Linked DNA regions of Anolis sagrei. The protein of the gene in region 1 purifies or fractionates together with the protein of each later gene. This does not show direct contact. Links are inferred from orthologs where the notes say so. Each region holds a gene or a part of one and is shown in the gene's direction. Other genes may lie near its edges.

Region 1 (11,787 bases):
AGGTCAGTCCATTGTCTTGCACACAAATTGGGTCTCATTCCAAATTGCTGCCTCTCCTGTTTGAATGCTTGGTCCCATAACAAGATTTTGAGTTTCATTCTAAAGGACAAGAGGGAGGGGGCCAATCTAATGTCACTGGATAGAGAGTTCCACAGGCGAGGGGCTACCACTGACAAGGCCCTGTCTCTCGTCTCCACCAGATGCATTTTTGAGGATGGTGGAATCGAGAGCAGGGCCTCTCCCGTTGATCTTAAACTTCGCTACATTTTATAGCAGGAGATAAGTTCAGACAGGTAAGATGGGTCAGAACTGTTCAGGGCTTTATAGGCTAAAGCCAGCACTTTGAATTGTGCTTGGTAGCAAATTGGCAACCAGTGGAGCTGGCCTAGGAGAGGGGTTGTATGCTCTCTGTATGCCACTCCAGTGAGCAACCTGGCTGCCGTCGGTTGTAGTTGGAGCTTCCGAGCAACCTTCAAAGGCAATCCCATGTAGAGTGCGTAATCTACTCGGGTTGTAACAAGAGCGTGGACCACCGTGGCCAAGTCTGACTTCCCAAGGGCCTGGGGGCCCTTCCAAACAGCCATATAACCCAGAATATCAAGGCAGATAATTCACAATATCTGATTTGAACTGGATTATCTGACTCCACACTGCCATATAATGCACTTAAATGTGGATTTTATATAACTGTGTGGAAGGGACCTGAGTTATTTTTAAAGATTACTAAGGACAAAATTAAGGGGGGACCAGGTCAATGCATAGAGGCCCCTTCTACACTGCTATATAAAATCCTGATGATCTCCTTTGAACTGGATTATATGACAGTGTAGAAGGGGTGTGAGTCTAGTATTTTCATAAAAAATACCGACAGTTGAAAAGAGTGGGAGAAGAAAAAAAATGGGATACAGAGAAGTGGAATGGCAGAGACCTTGAAGAAGCACTCCAAACTAAAATATTTTGGTGCAGGTTCCTTCCATTTACCTACCTAGGATGAAATGCAGTAAAACACTGCAGTTAAGTAAAAATGTGTGTATGTACATGTGTGTAGATACTTACATACACACAGGCATGTAAGTAGAAAAGCAGATTATGCACAGTAAATAATCTTATTGGTAGATATAGGTGCAGTCTCATATTTGGAAAGAAAATCATCTTCAGTACACTTTAAAGGACAAAATGCGGCCCTCCTGAAAGTTTGGGACCAATACAAGGAGAGAATGTACCCAAAAACACCGCTATGGCTCTCCACCTTGGAGGCTCATCAAAGGAGAGAAATAGGCTGGAGAATATGGCCCACGTATAAAGACCTCCTTGTCAAGGTTGGAAAGGAAGTAAGAATGAAATCATTAGAAGAGTTAAGAGAAAAATATAACAACCTCACTTGGCTCCAATACTGGCAATTGAAAGAGTATTTTGCAAAAGACAGACAAATAGGTCTCACGGAAAGCCTATCCGCTTGGGATAGATTAATAGAAAACCCAAGAAAATTTATCACCAAAGCTTATGGGCTACTACTTGAATGGTCTACAGAGGAGGAGAGAATTAAAGAATATATGGTTAAATGGGCAAGATTGATAGGGAGAACAATATCCCTAGAAGAATGGAACACCATCTGGATCGTAAAAACAAACTACTCATATGCCTATGAGATCAAAGAACACTGGATTAAAATGGTACACCAGTGGTATCTAACGCCCTCCAAGATTGCCAAATTTTCAAAGAACATGTGTAATAAATGTTGGAAATGCGGGTTAGAGGAGGGAACCTACAAACACATGTGGTGGACCTGTGTGAAAGTAAAAGCTTACTGGAAAACAATCCAAGAAAACTGCCAAAAAATATTAAGAAAAAACATCCCACTAAATCCAGAGATATTTTTATTGGGTTTAACAGGGAAAACATGGGACAAAGGGACTGATAAGCTATTTGTCTACCTGGTCACGGCGGCTCGTATACTTCTCGCCAAAGTTTGGAGAAAAGAGGAAATTCCATTGGAGGCAGATTGGATTAATAAAATAGTAGATATAAGGAACATGGATCATTTATCATACATTCTTTCAACTACACGAAATATACCAATAGCAGAGACAAACTGGACACCGGTTGAGGAATGGTTGGAGGGGAAAAAGCTAAAACTATAAATGGGTTAATACCACCACCACCCCCCACAGCCATAGCCCTAACTGTCATACACTGTTGGTAAATACATAGACCTAAATATAGAGCATAGTCGTTCCTAAGTGAATCGCCCCGCAAACCAAAAGATTCGATGCAAATATCCAGATAAAACCTCTGTTTTTATACTTAACAACATTCTAAAGAACAAATCAATACAGATCATGAAAAGGAGCAAGATAATAATAATAATAAAAAAAATTTAACTAGAAACTGGGAATCTTGAGAGAAAAACGAACCGAGAGCGAGAAATAAAGAGAAATGATGCACGAAAGTTCTTAAAGTAAGAAGGACACTGTTTAACAAACCTATACTAGAACCAAACAGCAGAGAAAATACATACACTTTAATTTACAAACGTAGACCGTAAACGAAAACCAAGAGAGGATCTACTAGAGTGGGAGAGAGGAGGTCCGGCCAACTGAGGTTGGCCAATTTTTAACGTATTTGTTTATTCGTACTTGTACCTTGTTTGTACTGTGTTGTGTCGGTAATTAGCTGTTTGTATGTGCAGTCGTATTTGTGTGTCTTTTTAATGTCATAAAATAAAAACTTAATAAAAAAAAAAAAAAAGGACAAAATGAGAACCAAGTTTGGATTTCCCTCCACTTGTTTTTTTCCCCTAACCCACAAATAAATGTCTTAGTAGTTTCAGGTATATGTGGGCTGAAGGTTTAGTAATCATTGTTTACAAAGTTGTATCACTGAATGTTAACCTATATTTTTACATATTTATGATCAACTGGGGTGTGGAAAATACTACTCAGTAACACAACAATAGGTTGGCTTAAGTATAGCACACCAGGTAGAAAATTCCTACTGGACTGCATCATTACACATTACATAGTGTAAGGGATGTCACAAACTGGAAATCACTCTTAGGGTAATTCCATCAAGACATATCTGCTACTTCAACAGACCTTGATAAACTGTTGCCTGCAAGACAGTCTGCACACTTGTACGTATATGAAAATAACTGTAAATATATGTCTTCATCCTACTTTCCCTGGCTGCTGCATTACATTTCTCTCCTGGGCCCCTTCCACACAGCTGAATAAAACCCCACATTATCTGCTTTGAACTGGAATATGTGGCAGTGTGGACTCAGATAACCCAGTTCAAAACAGATAATGCGGGATTTTCTACCTTGATATTTTGGGTTATATGGCTGTGTGGAAGGGCCCCCAGTGTGTGGTCAGTCTTCTCTGGACAGATCCCTAACATTATATCTTGGGTTATCAACATTTCTGCCTAAGGGTTTTCTTCTGGAGCAGAAATGGGCAGAGTCCCCTCAAGGTTGTAAAAAACCAATTTTCTTTGTTTCAAAATGTGCTATAGGGGTGTGAAGGGCATTTTCACTATGTTTTGGGGTTCTTGGACCAATTTAGGCCCAGTAAAGACCTTTTTATTTTTGAAAAAAGACCTAAACAGGGATTTGTTCCCATTCACTTTTTCTCCTTAGCCTTAAATGGTCTGGGAAGAGCCATATAAATATGGCAAAATGTGCCCTTGACCTCTTTCATGTTGCATAGTTTGAAAACTTGAATATTTATTTCATTTATTATTATTTATATGCTGCTTTTTCTTTCTTAAAAGAGGCTCAAAGAAACCAACAATATTATAAATACACAAGTGTAAAAGCTTGAATTTCTTTTCACTTCCACGAGGAACATTCTTCATTTTAGAGAGGTGATACAGATAATTGTTTCTAGAATAGAGAAGGAAAAGGACAACCGATTAAAACATTGTATGATAGAATCTGGAAAGTATGATTTCATTGTTGTTCTATGCCTTCAAGTCATTTCTGACTTATGGCAATCCTAAGGCAAGGTTTTCTGGGGCTGTGTGTGTAACTTGCCTAGGATAATCTGAAAGGTTTCAATGGAGCAAGCTTGTTTTCTGCTTCCTTGGAGACTAGGACGCGGAATAATGGCTTCAAACTACAAGAGGGGAGATTCCATCTGAACACGAGGAAGAACTTCCTGACTGTGAGAGCCGTTCAGCAGTGGAACTCACTGCCCCGGAGTGTGGTGGAAGCTCCTTCTTTGGAAGCTTTTAAGCAGAGGCTGGATGGCCATCTGTCAGGGGTGATTTGAATGCAATATTCCTGCTTCTTGGCAGAGGGTTGGACTGGAAGGCCCATGAGGTCTCTTCCAACTCTTTGATTCTATGATAAATACACAAGTGTAAAAGCTTGAATTTCTTTTCACTTCCACGAGGAATATTCTTCATACTAGAGAGAAGGTGACACAGATAATTGTTTCTAGAATGATTAGAGAAGGAAAAGGACAACCGATTAAAACATTGTATGATAGAATCTGGAAAGTATGATTTCATTGTTGTTCTATGCCTTCAAGTCATTTCTGACTTATGGCAATCCTAAGGCAAGGTTTTCTGGGGCTGTGTGTGTAACTTGCCCAGGATAATCTGAAAGGTTTCAATGTATTGTCGAAGGCTTTCATGGCCGGAATCACTGGGTTGTTGAAGGTTTCTTCGGACTGTATGGCCATGGTCTAGATCAGGGGTCCTCAAACTACGGCCCGGGGGCCGAATATGGCCCTCCAAGGCAATTTACCCGGCCCTTGCTCAGGGTCAACCTAGGTCTGAAACAACTTTAAAGAACACAACAACAACAACAAAAACAACAATCCTTTCTCATCAGCCAAAAGCAGGCCCACACTTCCCATTGAAATACTAATAACGTTATATTTGTTAAAAATTTTCTTCATATTAATTATTGTATTGTTTTTAAGTGGGGTTTTTTGCACTACAAGTAAGATATGTGCATTGTGCATAGGAGTTCATTCATGCTTTTTTCAAATTATAATCCGGCCCTCCAACAGTTTGAGGAACTGTGACCTGGCCCTCTGTTTAAAAAGTTTGTGGACCCCTAACCTAGAGACATTCTCTCCTAACGTTTCGCCTGCATCTATGGCAAGCATCCTCAGAGGTAGTGAGGTCTGTTAGAACCAGGGAAAGGGGACTTATATATCTGTGGAATGACCAGGGTGGGACAAAGGACTCTTTTCTGCTGGAGCTAGGTGTGAATGTTTCAACTGACCACCTTGATTAGCATACAATGGGCTGACTGAAAGGTTTCCATTGGCAGAGAAGGAAATCAAACTCTGGTTTCCGAAGCTGTAATCCAAGGCTCAAGCCACTGCTTCAGACAACGTACACAGGCTGCAAACTTCCGACTTACAAATGACTCATAGATAAGAACAGGGTGAGCCAACAGAAAGCGAGAGAAATCTACCCCTCGAAAAGGAAATTCATTCCTGAAAGAGTTGTTATTGTGGAGAAAAGGTGGAGGCTTTTCACCAATCCCTTGTTTCCAAAACATGCCAAATTTTTCAAAAGCTAACTGTCACAGGGACAGAACATGAGGTGACATCTTCTGAACAGGGAGCCAGGCAGCAAAACCAAACCGGCAGGGGTGTTTATACACTTCCCTAGGCTATACCCTTCTGGCCCCGTTGCGCAAAAGGAAACTGGCTGCGCATCCCTCCAGGTGGCTGCCCTGCGCTGATTCACGGGGAGGGAAAGGACGAGTTCCTTGTTTGGAGAGAACAACAAGCCGTGAAGAAACCCTAAGAGGGGGCCGAGGGGCTGAAAGGGCACTCGCTGATTGGTCGCCGCGCAAACTAGGCCGCCGCCCTCCTTCGTGATTTGTAAACGAGCCACGCGGCGAGCTTCACTTCCCCTTTCAACCTCATAAGCATTACAAACAACACCCGCCAAGCTTTTTGTCCCTTTCAGAATCCCGTCCTTCAGTTAGTCACGTAGCGCCGCTCGTGTAAAATGTAAGGTCTGCTCTGATTGGATGCCTTCCCACAAGGCGCTCAGGGATTGGTCGGAATCAGCCCCCCTTGTTGCTGAGCTACGCCGAAGGAGCGGGAGATGGAACGAAGAGGGCTGGGGTTGCCATAGCGGCGGTCGCGGCTGGGAAACCGGAAGAGCAAAGGATTGTGGGTAACCCCTCTCTTCTTCCTGACAATGGCCTGCGGATTGTTGGCAGGGGAGCGGGAGCCCAGTGGTTTTTCATGGGCGTTCTTGAGAGCCAGAACGTGTGGCCTATTTTGGTCCAAAACAACCGCCAGTTTTAAGGATGGAGCCACTGGTTCCGGGGATGTTGCCCGCCACCTCACTTCCTCTTCCCTCGTCGGGGTCAGGGACAGGCCTTTGTGGGAACCATAGGCCTTTGCTCCGAAATGCTTCCAAAATGGTTTAGAGCAGTGGTTCTCAACCTGTGGGTCCCCAGGTGTTTTGGCTTTCAACTCCCAGAAATCCTAACAGCTGGCAAACTGGCTGGGATTTCTGGGAATTGTAGGCCAAAACCTGGGGAGCCGCAGGCTGAGAACCACTGGTTTAGAGGATGTTGGGGCATTTCACCCACCTCTGGCGGCTCCATTTTAAAAAATGCCCTCAAATGCTATGCAGAGTAATTCTATTACATTTTGAGAGTTATGCCTTTTTGAGCCGTTTTGGAAAAAGGAAATAACTCACTTCATTTTGTCCCACAGCATTTGAGAGCAAATCTTTTTTTATGGGAGTTAGGGCAATGGGGGAAAGCCTTCCGTGTTTTCTGGGGTGGGTGGGGGGAGTAATGTGTCTCCCAAGTTTCCAGTTGCCCAACCCCACTCTTTAGCACATTTCATAACAGTAACACAGTTTTGCCACTCTTTTGATTTAGTATCTTGCTATGTTCTTGAGGGATAACAATTGTCAAGGAAACCAAAATGGTTATGCCATTGATGTAACCCATGACTAATCTGGGCAACGCTGAGAAAGGTTACTTTCTTGAGTTACAACTCACATAATTTTGTCGTAATTTGGCCTGTGATTTTACTAACTGAGGTTTGGGGGAAATAGAGAAAAAATAGCATTTGCTTTCTCTGGATCAGGAGTGCTGATCAAACCTGTAACTTTTGTAGGGCATAGCCCCTTTAATGTGGGCGTTATTACAATTAAAATGGGGCTGTCCAGTTGATTAATTCACCACAAACTAGGAAAACCCTAATTTGTTACTTGATTTATTCCACAGCTTCTTGGAAGGCGCTGGATAAACCCATTACTTCTGGTGTCTGGACTGTAGTCCAGACAGTATTCCCACGGTTTTCCAGGCTAAGTTAGCCTGGAAAACTGAGAATACCAACCCCCTCCCCAAAAGACCCCCAAAACAGTGTAAAAAAACCCAAGCAAAATAACTTACCCGGCCTCCATTAGAGGGCTGCCAAGTCTCTCCTGGCGCAAACAAATGATGCACCAGGAGAAGGAGGAGAGGAAGATAGCTCTCCTCCCCTTTCTCCTGGTGCATCATTTGTACATGCCAGGAGAGCTCCAGCAGTCATTTGAACTCATTACTACTGAGTCTAAGGGCCCTTCCACACAGCCATATAACCCAAAATATCTAGGCAGAAAATCCCACAATACTTGATTTGAAATGGGGCTCCTTCCACACAGCTGATTAAAATCCTACATTATCTGCTTTGAACTGGAATATATGGCAATGTGGACTCAGATAACCCTGTTGAAAGCAGATATTGTGGAATTTTCTGCCTTGATATTTTGGGTTATTTATTTATTTACTGTATTTGTATACTGCTTTTCTCAGCCCTCAGGCAACTCAAGGTGGTTTACAGGCAACAATTTGATGCACACAATATCAGAAATACAATTAAAAACATTAATATGTAATATAAAACCACAACAAATCAATAAAACAAAAATCATTAGCGTCTCCTTGTTTAAACATTGTCCAGTCCATCATCTAGTCGTTTCATTTTCCATGTCAGTTACTCTGCATTTGCAAACGCTTGCTCAAAAAGCCACGTCTTGACTTTTTTCCAAAATGTTAATAGGGAGGGGGCCGATCTGATATCCCTAGGGAGGGCGTTCCATAGTCGAGGGGCCACCACTGAGAAGGCCCTATCTCTCGTCCCCGCCAGATGTGCTTGTGACAAAGGCAGGATCAAGAGCAAGGCCTCCCTAGATGGTCTTAAGGTCATAGATCAGGGGTCCTCAAACTTTTTAAAAAGCGGACCAGATTACTGTCCCCCAGACCATTGGAGGGCGGACTATAGTTAAAAAAAAAACGATGACAAAATTCCTATGCACACTGCACATATCTTATTTTGCTATTGTTATTAATCGTAATGTAAATATCTGATATGCAGGATGTATTTTTATTGTTACAATCTGAACATAAAGCATAGTGATTAATCACAAAAACAATATGTAATTATACATTGTGAAATATTTATTTCTCATTACAAATAAATGAAATTTTGATTTCAAGCATGTCACAGCATAGGTAATAGTCTTAATATAACAACAGGGGATCCATGAATATGTTTACTGATTAGCCTATCTGCCAAACTCCCATCACCAACAGAAAATACTGGAAAGGCTTGGGGAAAATAGACTTTAGCATTTGAGAGTTGCTGGGATGAATAGTTCCCCTGCCAACCAAGAGCATTCTGAACTCCAACAATGAAATTGAACCAAACTCAGCTTACAGTGAGAACAAACCTACATAACTTGTTTGTAAGTTGGGGACTGCCTGTACAAGTTGGGTCACAGGGGTAACAGATACTACTGTACAGAAGAATAATACCTGGCAGAGTCAATGAAAGATTAAATGCCTCTGATCTTGAATGCTAAGCAGGGCCAGTTCTGGTTAGAATTTGGATGGGAAGCCACAAATGAATAGCAGGTGCTATATTTCAGAGAAAGAAACTGACAAAACTATTTTTGAGTATTTCCTCTCAAAGAAAACATTAAATTCATGGGGCCGCCAGAAATAAAAGGAGACCTGAAGGCACATACATGCACACACACCCAACGATGGGCTGCTGAAAGCAATATAGGAATACATAGAAAAATATAGCTTTAGCATTTCTGAAGATAAAATAGTTCCAATGAGAATGAGGAAAAAATTCTATTTTCTGCCTTATAAAGTGGATTTTGGAATATGTAAGCATGAATTATATTTCATTTCAAAGTTTAAAAGATCTTTGCACGAGGCCAGGCTGCACGGTGCAACTTACCTGCCTCGCACTGCCCCTCATGCGAGCCGGGTGCTGCTGTGGTGCGCGCAGCCTGGTGTTGTGCAAAGTCCCTTGCCAGGCCCAATCCCCTCACCTGCCTCGCGGTGCCCGTCGGGCCTGGCAAGCAATGGAAGCAGTGAGGGCTTTGCGTGAGAACAGGCCGTGTGGTGTTGCCTCCCTTGCCTCTCGCATGAGGGGCAGTGCGAAGCAGATAAATTGCACTGCATGGCCTGGCCTAAATTTAGCGAAGCCCTTATTTATTTATTTATTTATTTATTTACAGTTCTTATATTCCGCCCTTCTCACCCCGCAGGGGACTCAGGGCGGATTACAGTCAACACATATATGGCAACCATTCAATGCCAGTTTTGACAAACAACGTTTAACACACAAATACACCAAGGCTATTTAACTTTTTTTCTGGCCGCCAGGGGAGCTGCTGCTTTTCGTCGTCTATCAGTGACACCAATGAAGTTCTTCCGCATTCCACATTCCCCGGAATCTTTTTTCTTTATGGCCTCATAAATTAGTTAAATTTAGCCTCCCACACAAGGTGGTGCCTTATTTTCCTACTTGACAGATGCAACTGTCTTTCGGGTTGCAAAGGTCGACAACGGGCTACACAATGGCTGGACACCCACTCCAGCCCGGGCTGGCTTCGAACTCATGACCTTTTGGTCAGAGTGATCTTAATGCAGCTGACACTCAGCCAGCTGCGCCACAATCCCGGTCCTTACCGCTTCCATTGCTTGCCAGGCCCGACGGGCGATGCAAGGCAGGCGAGTGTATTGGGCTTGGCAAGCGGCAAGGGGTTTTGTGTGAGGCCAGGCCGTGCAGTGCAACTTACCTACCTCACGCTGCCCATCGTGTGAGCCAGGCAAGGGAGGCTGCACCGCGTGGCCTGGCCTCGCGCAAAGCCCTTTGCCGCTTGCCAGGCCCAATCCCCTCACATGCCTTGCGCTGCCTGTCGGGCCTGGCAAGCAATGGAAGCACTGAGGGCTTTGCGCGAGAACAGGCCGCGTGGTGTAGCCTCCCTTGCCCAGCTTGCACGAAGGGCAGTGCGAGACAGATAAGTTGCGCCGCGCGGCCTGGCTTCGCACAAAGCCCCTCGCCGCTTGTCAGGCCCAATCTTCTCACCTGCCTCACGCTGCTTGTCGGGCCTGGCAAGGGAGGCTGCACCTCCTTTGCCTGGCTCGCACAACGGGCAGCACGAGGAAGGCAAGTTGCACCGTGCAGCCTGGCCTCGAGCGAAGCCCGTTGCTGCTTTCTTTGCTTGCCAGGCCTGACGAGTGGCGTGAAGCAGGCAAGGGGATTGGGTCTAGCAAGTGGCGAGGGGCTTTGTACGAGGCCAGGGCAGGCCGCACGGGCCGGATAAATGCCCTCAGCAGGCCACATGTGGCCCGCGGGCCGTAGTTTGAGGACCCCTGTCCTAGATGGTTCATAAGGGGAGATTCGTTCAGACTGATAAGTTATATGGCTGTGTGGAAAGGCCCTTAGTCTCCAGGGCAGCATAAGCAAGCCTGCTCCCTCTTCCTTATGACATAATTTCACATATTTATATATGGCTATCTTATCTTGTCTCAGCCTTCTCTTCTGCAGGTTAAACATACCCTATTAGCTGAAGGCATAGTATTGGGGTTTATCTCTTTATCAAAGAAGAAAAGGAGTATAACTTCAGACTAGTATTCATATAATAGGCCAAAGATTTGGCAAGTCCTGACACATGTTCATATGGTAGCAAAAATTCTGTGGATTAAATTACGTAGTGTTTTTAGGATTCCAGGTTTAGAAGGTCAAAGCAATTTTGCTCTTCCTCTTTTGCGGGTTACATTTCCAGTATAGGTTCTGTCGATGACGAAATAAATGATGTGTGGTTACTGGAAACTAACTTTAGGAAGCAATTTCCAAGACTTGATAGATGAGTCTTCCTTTTTTGCACCTGTAAAGTAGAACAGTCAGTTGTGGCCTTTCACTAGGAAAGGCAATGATGAGGAACATAAAGCTGCAGCCCAACAGTGTATCTAGGAGGATGAGTGTTCCAATTGTCTGCTGCAAAGACCCCAAGCATTTACTTTTCAGTACAAAAGAGTAACCACTCTTCTTCTGTTTTCCAGAAATGGGTAATAACCCTATATTCTTGCATTCCAAACACAAGACTTGTCCCACCAGGTTTTGGTGATCCTAATTATATCATAGATGTTTTTTTGGTAGTTTCTGGTTGCTTGAATTCCAGTTAACTGAGAGACTACTATACTTCCTGGTGGGAAGGAGATAAATGTGGAGCAATAAACTATGTAGAGATAAAATTGGTAGGCTCCTCAGAGGTCTCCAAGCATTAGCATATCAAAGTTCATTCTTTAGCATTTGTGATATGTAAAATTGTTTATTCATACTGCTGCAGAACTAACCCCTACAATTGCTGCTTGAAAAGAGTCAAGGCCAAATAGTAATCATGTAGTAGCCAATAGCTTCTTTCTTGAATAGGTGCTTTGATTTTTAAAATACATTAAAAGGTATCATATCATTCTGGCAATTGTCTTTCAGCAACGGTTATAAGAAGCAA
Region 2 (12,419 bases), on another chromosome or scaffold:
AGCCAAGCAAGTTATAGTGTACCCTCCCACCCCCCCCCCGCCCCCGCCCCCGCCCCCACCCCCACCTCCGCCTTTTGCATTCTGTTTAACAGTGATTCATTCACAGGGTAGCAACATTGTTAGAGTGTTTCCTCCCAAGCTGGAAATCTTAAATATCTGGAAAACTAATCTAAAGCACTGATACTTAGTTATATAATCAGAAACAACATCATTTTCCATCTAAAGACCAAAAGCATGAAATATTATTTTCCCCTTAGAACACAGGAAACACAAAACCATATACGAACCTTTGCGCTAGATTGTGAGAGTAACATTTCTTCTCCACAAATCTTATATTTCTTTAATTTTCATATCAGGGGTATAGTGAGTTTGCCCTTAGTTTTATTCCAGATTCCAAGCCACCTTGTCTGTCTCCTGAGGAATCTGTGTAACAACCAAATAGCAACAATAAGAACAGACCATGGAACAGACTGGTTCAAGATTGGGAAAGGAGTATGGCAGGGTTGTATACTCTCACCCTACCTATTCAACTTGTATGTATCATGCAACATGTGGGGCTTGGTGAACCCAAGGCTGGAAGAAACATTAACAACCTTAGATATGCAGATGATACCACTTGGATGGCTAAAAGCGAGGAGGAGCTGAGAAGCCTTCTAATCATGGTGAAAGAGAAAAGTGCAAAAGCTGGGTTGCAATTAAACATTTAAGAAACCAAGATTATGGCAACCAGATTGATTGATAACTGGCAAATAGAAGAAGAAGACATGGAGGCAGTGACAGACTTTGTATTTCTAGGTGCAAAGATTACTGTAGACGTAGACTGCAGCCAGGAAATCAGTAGACATTTTCTTCTTGGAAGGAGATTAATGACTAATCTCAATAAAATAATTAAGAGTAGAGACATCACACTGGCAACTATGATCTGCATAGTTAAATCAATGGTATCCCCCATAATAACCTATGGATGCGAGAGCTGGACCATAAGGAAGGCTGAGTGAAGGAAAATAGAAACTTTTGAACTGTGGTGTTGGAGGAAGATTCTGAGAGTGCCTTGGACCCTGAGAAGATCCAACAAGTCCGTACTCCAGGAAGTAATGCCCAGCTGTTCACTGGAGGCAAAGATGAGATACACTAGCCACATAGGAGAGAATGGGGAGATATTAGAGGCAAAGATGAAGTACTCTGGCCACATAGGAGAGAATGGAAGGAAAAAGGAAGAGGGATTGAGCAAGGGCAAGATGGATGGAGGTTATCCTTGAAGTGACTGGCTTGACCTCGAAGAAGCTGGGAGTGGCCACAGCTGACAGGAAGCTCTGGCGTGTTGTTCCATGAGGTCACAAAGAGCTGGAAACGACTAAATAAACAACAACAAAAAGGTACTGAGCCTTATTTCCAAATAGGTTCAGGGTCTTGACTTGCTCCTTTAAAGTCTGGAATAAATCTAGGTGTGAATTCACTGTCCTACCGACATAGATTCATTGACTGTTCCTACAATGAGTGGTGATGTGTATTAAATACTAGGATCATAAAACTAAGTATGTGTGTAGGTGTTCATTTTGCTTGTTTGTTTATAGTGTTAGCTTCATTCTTCAAATAGAAAGGAGTCTAAGGCAGTGTGTAGATAACAAAAAGCCTCTCTGGCATACATTCTTAAAAGGATATGACAGCGAAGAAAGGGAAGGAAAGAAAAACAAGAAAGCTCAGACCCCAATGTTTACTGTTATCTGTTTCTTAGAATAACCAACTTTGATGATAAATATGGGCTTCTAAGAAACAGCTGTAAAACAGCTGAATGTTGTAATTCTAGAAAGGTGAAGACTTCACTTTCTGGGTGGGTTCAAATCTGTACAGATGGAAGACACAGATACACAGATGGAAGACACATATTTCTTTAGTCAAGGGTAGAGTGGATGTAGTGTAGTGGATTGAGCACTGAACTACAACTCTGGAGACCAGAGTCAATCCCTTGCTAGGCTCTGGGAACTCACACTCTCAAATCCAGAAAACCTTGTGAAAGATTTTGTTTAGCTTTGCCATAAGTTAGAAATGACTTAAAGGCACATAACAACCACAACAATGCAAGTGTGGCATGTCCAGAGGGAAATTTTCTTCTCTGAAACCCTACAAGAAACACACAGTGACCCAAAGGCCAAACCAGCTAGAAGCTGGAAATTCTAGTTTTGAAAACCAGCTATATGCATTCGTGTGTGGAATGAGTGTGAGCCAGTGATTTTTTTTCTGGGGACTATTCACTTTCCAGTGGGAGAGGAGTGGGGCAAAAAAAGGGAGGCAGTTCCCAAGGTAAGAACATAATAGATTCTGTAAGTTTGTTCTTATGGTGAATTTGTATATAAACCAGAGCAGGTACATTTTTAAGTGTAGCTCCAGTCAAATATATATATGCAAATTAGCTTTGGTTAGCATAAGGAAGGATTAACACCCCTGTGGTGTTTGTTTTGCTGCCTGTGCCCCGGTTCAGAAAATTTCTCATTTTTTGTCCCTGTGATCATTGGATTTTGAAAAACTTGGCTTGTTGTGGAAACCAGGATTGGCGAGAAAGCTTCAGCTGAGGCTCCTTTTCCCATGATAACTCTTTCAGGAGTTAATTTCCCTTCCTATGAGTAGATTTCTCTCACTCAGATGGCCAATTCTCACACCAGAAGCGACTTGCAGTTTCTCAAGTCACTCCTGACACACACACACACACACACACAAACTGGCTCCTTGCCTTCCAGTATTGAGAAAAACTGTAAAGTCAATTCTTTTTGTGTGCTTTGCAATGTTGGTGCAAAGTGCCATGGCCCAATGCTTTGGAATCATGGGAGTTGTAATTTTACAAATTCCTTACCCTCTCTGTCAGAGTAGTAGTGCTTCACCAAAATGCAAGTCCCATTAATGGCACACTGTAGATGAAGCTGTTCTCCTAAATTTATTGTTTCATCATAGTAATCTTAGGAATAATGAATCATTGTTTTCAATCAAACCTTTTGAAAAAAGTGCAGATTTTTAAAAGTAAAAAAAAAGTCAAACTTCAGAGAGAGAAAAAATGTTTCCAATAAATAACTCTGATAGCATTACATGTACTGGAGCTTAGATGGAAGCAGCCTGCCACTCTGTGGTATGTGCTGATAGATATGCAAAGTGATTTGGTTTCGGGAAGGAATACAGAATGCAAATGTCATTATTAGGAGCAATGAGGATATTGTGCACCTATAAGAATATCTAGTTAATATGTGAGTACCATTTCAAGAGAATGCAGCCATTCCCAAGGGAGAGTTGGAGTTCATGACACACAGAGTTGATAGTCAGGAAGCGACTTAAAAGACAAGCAATCTAAAACTGTCTGCACACATTGCTAAGATACACATTTGTTTTCTGATAGATCTGTACAAAACTATTGTCTTCAACATAAACAATTGTATAACATTTCCTTCAGGCTATGTGTGCAAGGTGTGTATGAAACATAAATGAATTTCATGTTTAGACCTGGGACACATCTCTAAGATATTTCATTATGGACATAGTGCAAATACAGGTATTCATTAAAAAAATAAATCCAACATGCAAAACACACAATGGATTCTGCATCTTTTGAGGATTTGCTCTTACCTGCCATTTTTGGTGCTGTGTGCTGATTCTTCATGCCACTCATAAAGATACATACATATGCATTAGCATAACCAAATACTGTATATACTCGAGTATATGCTGACTCGAATGTGAGCTGAGGCACCTAATTTTACCACAAAAAACTGGGAAAATGTATTGACTCGAGTATAAGCTGAGGCTGGGAAATGCAGCAGCTACTGGTAAATTTCAAAATAAAAATAGATACCAATAAAATTATATTAATTGATGCATCAGTAGGTTAAATGTTTTTGAATATTTAAATAAAACTGTAATTTAAGATAAGACTGCCTTATCTGATTAAATCCTTATTCTAACCTTCTTCGATGTAAATGTGTTTACGTATCCTTCCAATAATTACCATAGTTTATTTTAACTATACATGTTGTGGAAAATGCTGTGTGTGTATGAATAAGGAAAAGTGAGGAAAACTGGAGGCAGAGAGGAGGAGAGGAAGGTGTGAGCTGCGCGAGAGAGGAGGAATGGAAGGAGAGCTAGGTTGCTGTGTGGAAAAGTGAGGGTCCTGGCAGAAAGGCGTGGGGCTGAAAAAAGCCCTTCTTTCAGCCTCATGCCAACCTGCCAGGACCCTCACCTGAGTATAATCCAAGAGGGTTTTTTTCAGCCTAAAAAAGGGCTGAAAAACTAGGGTTATACTCGAGTATATACAGTATATAAAAAAAATTTTCATCCCATTTTAGTCATTTTTTCTTTGATACTGACCACACACAAAAACCTACCTCAAAACCACAGGACAATATAATGAGGCTGCAATTATATGTCCAATTATCCAGTCCCACTACCCATTATCAAGTTTAGTATTTGACTATAGGATTGTGTGGTTTAATCCCTTATCTGGGAATAAGTGCTACTGAATTCAATAAGCTTTAATTCCAACTAAACACCCATAAACTCATGTTGTAACAGATGCAGTTGTTTAAAGTCCAGATATGAGAAGCCATGAGTATTCTCCATAGTAAACAAACTAACCCTTGATACGTCTTGGACAATGAGAAAATCAAACCAGTTCATATTCCAGGAAAGAAAGCCCAACTGCTCACTGGAGGGAAGGATATTAGGAGCAAAGATGAAGTACTTTGACCACATAATGAGAAGACAGGAAAGCTTGGAGAAGAGAATGATGCTGGGGAAAATTGAAGGAAAAAGGAAGAAGGGCCGACCAAGAGCAAGATAGATGGATGTTATCTTTGAAGTGAACTGGCTTGACCTTGAAGGAGCTGGGGGTGGCGACGGCTGACAGGGAGCTCTGATGTGTTGTTCCATGAGGTCACAAGGAGTCGGACGCGATTGAGTGAATAAACATTATAATATTGTACAGGGTTTCCCCCTGACATTAAGTCTAATAATGTCCGACTCTGGGAGGTGGTGCTCATCTCCATTTCTAAATGAAACAGCCAGCATTGTCAGTAGATGCCTCTGAAGTCATGCGGTCGGCATGACTGCATTGATTGCTGTTACCTTAAGATGGTAAAACTCAGCTGTGGGACCAAGCCTTTGGGACAGTGTAATAAGGCAACAATGGGAAACTTTCCGTGCTGGCTGGATATGGTATGGCTGATCTGAGATGGTGTTAAACAATTGATTTTAAAGTGGAGATAACTGATTTAAGTGTGTATGTATATTTATAGTTTATTTTATGTTCTGGCATTGAATTTTTGCTGTATATATGTGGTGCTCTGCCCTGAGTTCCCTTCTGGGTGAAAAGGGCAGAATATAAATGTTTTATATAAAATTTGCATATTTTAAAACTGCTAGGTTGGCAGAAACTGGGGCTAAAAGCAGGAGCTCACCCCACTCCTCAGATTTGAACCACTGACCTTTTGGTTCAGATTTGAACCACCACTGGGGGCTCCACTATACTGCAATATTATCAGTAATATTACATGTAATATATAATATACAATTATTATATTGTATGAGCCCCCGGTGGCACAGTGGGTTAAACCCCTGTGCTGGCAGGACTGAAGACCGACGGGTCGCAGGTTCGAATCCAGGGAGAGCACGAATGAGCTCCCTCTATCAGCTCCAGCTCTTCATGCGGGAACATGAGGGAAGCCTCCCACAAGGATGGTAAAACATCAAAACATCCGGGTGTCACCTGGGCAACATCCTTGCAGATGGCCAATTCTTTCACTCTAGAAGTGACTTGCAGTTTCTCAAGTCGCTCCTGACACGACAAAAAAAATATTGTACTATACTATTATACCACAATATATATAATACACGACCAGTATATTATACTATTTGTATTATGTAATACAGGGTGAGGCAGCATAACTTCCTTTTTTCAAAACTTAATAAAACCCATTGTATGAATCAGAATTATTTTATTTAATTTTTTTTATAATGTAGGCGCATACCTAAAGTTTTGTTTTATGTAGTTTTGAAGATCAAATTAGGTAGGTGACGTCCCCCATTCTCCATACACTGAGTAAACCGATTTCTGGCGTTTGTCATGACTCTTCCCAGCATAGCAGGCGTTATGTTGGCAATTTCTTCCTGGATGTTGGTCTTCAAATCTTGTAGAGTCCTTGGACGGTTCACATAAACACGGGATTTCAAAAAACTCCATAGAAAAAATCACAAGGAGCCATATCTGGAGAGCAGGCTGGCCACTCCAAATCCGTTCAAAAATAGGCCTCAACGGCAAAAGCACGCTCCTCACTGTTCCAGCGCATGATGGCGACTGAACTGTGTCAGGACAAAACTTTATACTCCTGCCTCTCAAATGAGACCACTAGTGCTCTGTTACGTCTTCAACTGACTGAATGGTGTGCATTTTAAAAAAGGAAGTTATGCTGCCTCACCCTGTATATTGTACTATATCCTAAAGCAGGGGTCCACAAACTTTTTCAACAGAGGGCCAGGTCACAGTCCCTCAAACTGTTGGAGGGCTGGATTATAATTGGAAAAAAAAACATGAATGAATTCTTATGCACACTGCACATATCTTATTTGTAGTGCAAAAACCACTTTAAAAATACAATAATTAAAATGAAGAACAATTTTAACAAATATAAATTTATTAGTATTTCAATATATACTAATAAATTTATATTTGTTAAAATTGTTCTTCATTTTAATTATTGTATTTTTAAAGTGGTTTTTGTCCAGTCTCGATAAAATAGTAAAGCAATGTCCAGTCTCGATAAAATAGTAAAGAGTAGAGACATCAGACTGGCAACAAAGATCCGCCTAGTCAAAGCCATGGTATTCCCTGTAGTAACCTACGGATGTGAGAGCTGGACCTTAGGGAAGGCTGAGCGAAGGAAGATAGATGCTTTTGAGCTGTGGTGTTGGAGGAAAGTTCTGAGAGTGCCTTGGACTGCGAGAAGATCCAACCAGTCCATCCTCCAGGAAATAAAGCCCGACTGCTCATTGGAGGGAAAGATACTAGAGACAAAGTTGAAGTACTTTGGCCACATCATGAGGAGACAGCAAAGCCTAGAGAAGACAATTATGCTGGGGAAAGTGGAAGGCAAAAGGAAGAGGGGCCGACCAAGGGCAAGATGGATGGATGGCATCCTTGAAGTGACTGGACTGACCTTGAGGGAGCTGGGGGTGGTGACGGCCGACAGGGAGCTCTGGCGTGGGCTGGTCCATGAGGTCACGAAGAGTCGGAGACGACTGAACGAATGAACAACAACAACAACAAGTATTTCAATGGGAAGTGTGGGCCTGTTTTTGGCTGATGAGATAGGATTGTTGTTGTTGTGTGCTTTCAAGTTGTTACAGACTTAGGTTGACCCTAAGCGAGAGCCGGGTAAATGACCTTGGAGCTCCCCTTGTTAGCCTCAGCTTCTGCCAACCTAGCAGTTTGAAAACATGCAAATATGAGTAGATCAATAGGTACCGCTCTGGTGGGAAGATAACGGGCGCTCCATGCAGTCATGCTGGCCACATGACCTTGGAGGTGTCTACGGACAACGCCGGCTCTTTGGCTTCGAAATGGAGATGAGCACCAACCCCCAGAGTCGGACACAACCTTTACCTTTAGGTATAGGAGTCTGCACAGCCATATAACCCTGAATATCAAGGCAGACAATCTCAGAAAATCTGTTTTGAACTGTCATATATTCCAGTGTGGGATTTTACTCAGCTGTGTGGAAGGAGCCCCAGATAATTGGGATAAACAGAAAACCTGGGATCAGAATCTAGGATATAGGGGGCCTGCCTGGAAAGGCTCTCTTTCTCTCTCTCTCTCTGAGGGCCAGGCCTCTTTGGACGCCTTTTCCTGCTCCAGGCCCGGATTACCCATCGGCCCCCGCTCTGGCTGTGGCGCAGGCGCGCTGAGGCGGCAGCTCAGGAAGAGGAAAATGGCATAAACAACCCCGCCGCCGCCGTCGCTGCCGCCACCGCAACAGGGACCATTCGAGGCCCAGCTCCGTTTCCCCCTCAGCGACATCCTTCGGGCCTTTCTCCGCGTGAGCGAAGCCCTCCGCTTGAGCTGCCCAGCCTTGGGCCTTGACAGTGGCGGCGGAGGAGGCGGCGGCAGCGGCCTTCCCTCCTCCTCCTCCTCCTCTTTCCCTCATGGTTCCTCGTCCGGCCACGGCGGGGCCTCCTGAGGCGGCCCGGCTGTTCATGGCGCTGTAGCGTCGGCGCCATGAACAGCGCGGGGCTGCCCTGTTCCTCCCCGGCGGCGGCGGCGGCGGGCGGGCCTGCTCTGGCTCCGGGGCCGGGCTTGGGCCTCCCCGCAGTGGCAGCGGGCGCGGGAGGCCTCCCCGGCGGCCTGAAGCTCAAGTTCTGCCGCTACTACGCCAAGGACAAGACGTGCTTCTACGGCGAGGAGTGCCAGTTCCTGCACGAGGAGCCCGGCGGCGCCGCCTCGGCCGCCTGCCCGGGCCCGCCCCCGCCGCCTCTCCCGCCCGCCGTGGCGCTGGGGGGGCTCCCGCTGGGGCTGGGGCCGGGACCCGTGGCCGCCTCGCCGGGGCACAGCGGGGGGTACCCAGGCCCGCACGGGGCCTCGCTGGCGGCAGGCCCCAAGAAGGGCCCCGACTTGGCCGCAGCAGCAGGAGCAGCAGCAGCAGGAAGCGGCGCCGGGGGAGGAGCGAGCATGGACGGACCTCGGCTGGCCAGTGAGTGCCAGTATGCGGCCTAGGGCTTTCAGGCGAGGCCATCTGTCGGGGCTGCTTTGGTTGTGTCTACCACCTGCATGGCCCTTGGGGTTTGGAGGCGAGCTTGGAGAAAAGAAGGCCGAGAGGGGATGTGTTACCTGTGTTTAAAGCAGGCATGGGCCAACTTCGGCCTTCCCTCCAGGTGTTTTAAACTTCAGCTCCCACCATTCCTAACAGCCTCAAGCCCCTTCGAGGCTGTTAAGATTGGTGGAAGTTGAAGTCCACAACACCTGGAGAGAGGACCTTTTTTTTTTTGTCGTGTCAGGAGCAAGTTGTTTCTGGTGTGAGAGAATTGGCCGTCTGCAAGGACATTGCCCAGGGGACACCTGGATGATTTGACGTTTTTATCATCCTTGTGGGAGGCTTCTCTCATGTCCTCGCATGAGGAGCAGGAGCTGAGAGCTCATCTGCCTCTCCCCGGATTCGAACCTGCGACCTGTTGGTCTTCAGTCCTGCCGGCACAGGGGTTTAACCCACTGTGCCACCGGGGGCTCCCGGAGAGAGAGGACTGAAGTTGGTCCATGCCTGCTTTAAATGGTTGAGAGATGTCACCTCGAGTTTTTGGTTTGCTGTGAGTTTTCCAGGCTGTATGGCCATGTTCCAGAAGCATTCTCTCCTGACGTTTCACCTGCATCTATGGCAAACATCTTCAGAGGTTGTGAAGTCTATTGGTTTATATATCTGTGGAATGTCCAAGGTGGGAAAAAGAACTATTGTCTGTTTGAGGTAATAATAATAACAATACAACTTTATTCATATACCGCTCCATCTCCCCGAGGGGACTCAGAGCGGTTCCCAAGTAACATCTCAAAACATACAGAGTAAAAACAACTTAGCCATAAGATTAACGAACAAAATTTAAGCATAATATTTGTCGCTATAACACACATATATTAAAAGTAGGTATGAATGTTACAGTTTGCCACCTTGGTTAGCATTTAATGCCCTTGCAATTTCAAAGCCTGGCTGCTTCCTGCCTGGGGGAATACTTTCTTGGGAGGTGTTGAACCAACTTGGACCCAGCATATTGTTTGAGAACACAAACAATGCTGGACCACTCTAACAACCACCGTGTCAGACTACACAGAAAAGCCGCTGAAATCCAGAAGCATGTGGACAATTTCAACAGAAAGGAGGAAACCATGAAAATGAACAAAATCTGGCTACCAGTATTAAAAAAAACTATAAAATCAAAATGTGAAATAAAGAACAACACTTAAAAACAGGGGAATTCCAGACAAGACACAATCAGGGCCAGCTAATCACCTTCCAACAAAGGATTCCCCCAGGCAGGAATCAGTCAGACCTTGGAACTGCAAGGCCATTAAATGCTAATCAAGGTGGCCAGTTGCAACATTCACACCTGCCCCAAACAGACAAGAGTTCTTTCCCCCACCCTGGATATTCCACAGATATATAAACTCCATTTTCCTAGTTTCCCACAGACCTTACAACCTCTGAGGACGCCTTCCATAGATGCAGGTGAAACTTTAGGAGGAATGCTTCTGGAACATGGCCACACAGCCCAGAAAATTCCCAGCAACCCAGTGATTCCAGTCATAAAAGCCTTTGATGATACACATTGAGTTAGTTTCCTACTGCTCTGGAGACTAAGGCAGGGAGCAATGAATTCGAATTGCTGGAAAGGAGATCACACCTAAACATTACTTCCGGGTGATAAGAACTCTTTGGCAGTGAAATATGCTTGCCCAGAGTGTGGAGGAGTCTCCTCTGCAGGTTTTAAAGCTGAGATTGGCTAGCCATCTGTGGGGGTTGTTTTGATGTGTGTTCCTGCATGGTCTGGAGGCTCCTTGTGGTCTCTTCCAACTCTATGATTCCTCCAATCCTATGTTTCTCTGGACCCCAGGTTTCTCTAGGTCAGTGGTTCTCAACCTGAGTAAGTAAATAAGTAAACTATTACGGTTGATGACCAGATGTACTCAACCTGTTTGTCCCCAGATATTTTGGACTACTACTCTCAAAAATCCCAACCATTTTACCAGCTGTTAGAATTTCTGGAAGTTGAAGGCCAAAACATCTAAGGACCCACAGGTTGAGAACCACTGCTTTAGGTGAATGTGGGGAAAGCGGTCTTGAGTCTCCACTGTTCTAGTTCTGGGCTCCAGACCCTCCAAGGCAGTGGTTCTCAACCTGTGGGTCCCAGATGTTTTGGCCTTCAACTCCCAGAAATCCCAACAGCTGGTAAACTGGTTGTGATTTCTGGGAGTTATAGGCTAAATCACGTGGGGGCTGACAGGTTGAGAACCACTGCTTCAAGGGCAACAAGGCTATCAGCGGCGTTTGGGATGCACCCAAAAGGTAAAGGGATGGTGGGTGGCAAGCAAGGATTCATGCTACACTTGACAACTTAATGCAGTTTGAAGTTTGCTTCAAACTGTGGCAGCAGTTGAACAGCAAACTCCCACAAAAGTGCATGAAAGAAGGAAAGCCCTCAAAGTGTGTAGCAGTGCTCTGTGGTTTGTGTAATCACCATCTGGGTCTTAAAGAAGCCACTCTCTTCAATGTCGGTTTGACAGTGTTTTTGCTCCCCGGTCCCTCAGAGTGAGTTGGCACATGCAATTTTTGTGGAGGGATAAGTTGAGAAAGGTAAGATAAGGCTGTATTGTTGCTGTTTGTTCTGCTCCTTCTCATGGCCTGGCAGTTCAAATGGAGATGAAGGAGATGGGTGCTCTGCTTTAAGAATAGGTGGAAAAGGGGTGTGGCAATGGCTTTTTCTTTCTTTCTGAGGATGTCAGTGTAAAAGATGGGTGATAATGTTTTCTGACAATTTAAAGATTCCTATAGGGTTAAGGAATACACCAGGTCCAGTCTGGACTTGGAAGCTAAACAGGGTCAGCCCTGGTTAGTCCGTAGATGGGAAATGGAAGATAAATACTGGAGGCTATGCTTTATAGAATAAATTGGTAAAAGGACCAAGAAACCTTTAAAAGGTTCATGGGGTTTCAATAAGTCAACATGTAACTTCAAGGCACACCTACACAGTCAGGTGGAAACAAAGGTGGTGGATTCTCTGTTTTCACAATATGGGAAAGGGGGTGTGGTGACAGCTTTTCCCTTATGAGGCGGCTGGGACTAAGGATGTCTGCCTGTGCCTCTTTGGTGAAAAATACGGATGGCAATATTTTCTGACAATTGAAAAGATTCCTATGGGTTTAGGGATGAGTCTCTGAATACCCTTAAGGGTCCAGCTGAAAAAAGTTAGCCCCGATTAGTCTGTAGATGGCAAATGAATACTGGAGGCTACATCTCAGAGGAATACAAAAGTATTAAGAAAAATCTACAAAATTCGTAGACTTGTGTTAAGCCAGTGTGTACCTTGGAGGCACAACACACATAGGGTTAACGAGAGACAGCATGGCTTAGTGATTTGTTGGATTGTGACTCTGGAGGTGACCCACTCAGACATGAGAACCTGTTGGGTGACCTTGGGTAAGTCATGCTCTGTCAGTCTTAGAGGAAGACCATGGTAGAAAACTTTAAATCCAATGATAATGTTGCCATAAATTGGAAACTTGAAAGCCAACAACAGCAACATAGGGTTAGTAGTTGATTCACAAATCCCTTTATTGTGTAGGCACAAGAGTAGTCCATGGTTATTATTTTGTAACCTCAGCTGGTCATTGTTTCATTTTTGTTGTG

Evidence for each region.
Region 2: the proteins of PAN2 (region 1) and PAN3 purify together in Homo sapiens (co-immunoprecipitation; 5 studies listed by BioGRID and IntAct, with this or other methods). This does not show direct contact. The link is inferred for Anolis sagrei from reciprocal best matches to the Homo sapiens genes PAN2 and PAN3.

What each region holds. Positions count from the first base shown.
Region 1 is NC_090022.1:138,614,578-138,626,364, reverse strand, and holds the start of PAN2 (PAN2-PAN3 deadenylation complex catalytic subunit PAN2), read left to right. Parts: upstream 1-6,019; 5' UTR 6,020-6,147; intron 6,148-11,768; exon of another isoform or gene 11,769-11,787. UniProt on the Homo sapiens protein: Catalytic subunit of the poly(A)-nuclease (PAN) deadenylation complex, one of two cytoplasmic mRNA deadenylases involved in general and miRNA-mediated mRNA turnover.
Region 2 is NC_090023.1:31,521,954-31,534,372, forward strand, and holds the start of PAN3 (PAN2-PAN3 deadenylation complex subunit PAN3), read left to right. Parts: upstream 1-7,915; 5' UTR 7,916-8,248; coding exon 8,249-8,720; intron 8,721-12,419. UniProt on the Homo sapiens protein: Regulatory subunit of the poly(A)-nuclease (PAN) deadenylation complex, one of two cytoplasmic mRNA deadenylases involved in general and miRNA-mediated mRNA turnover.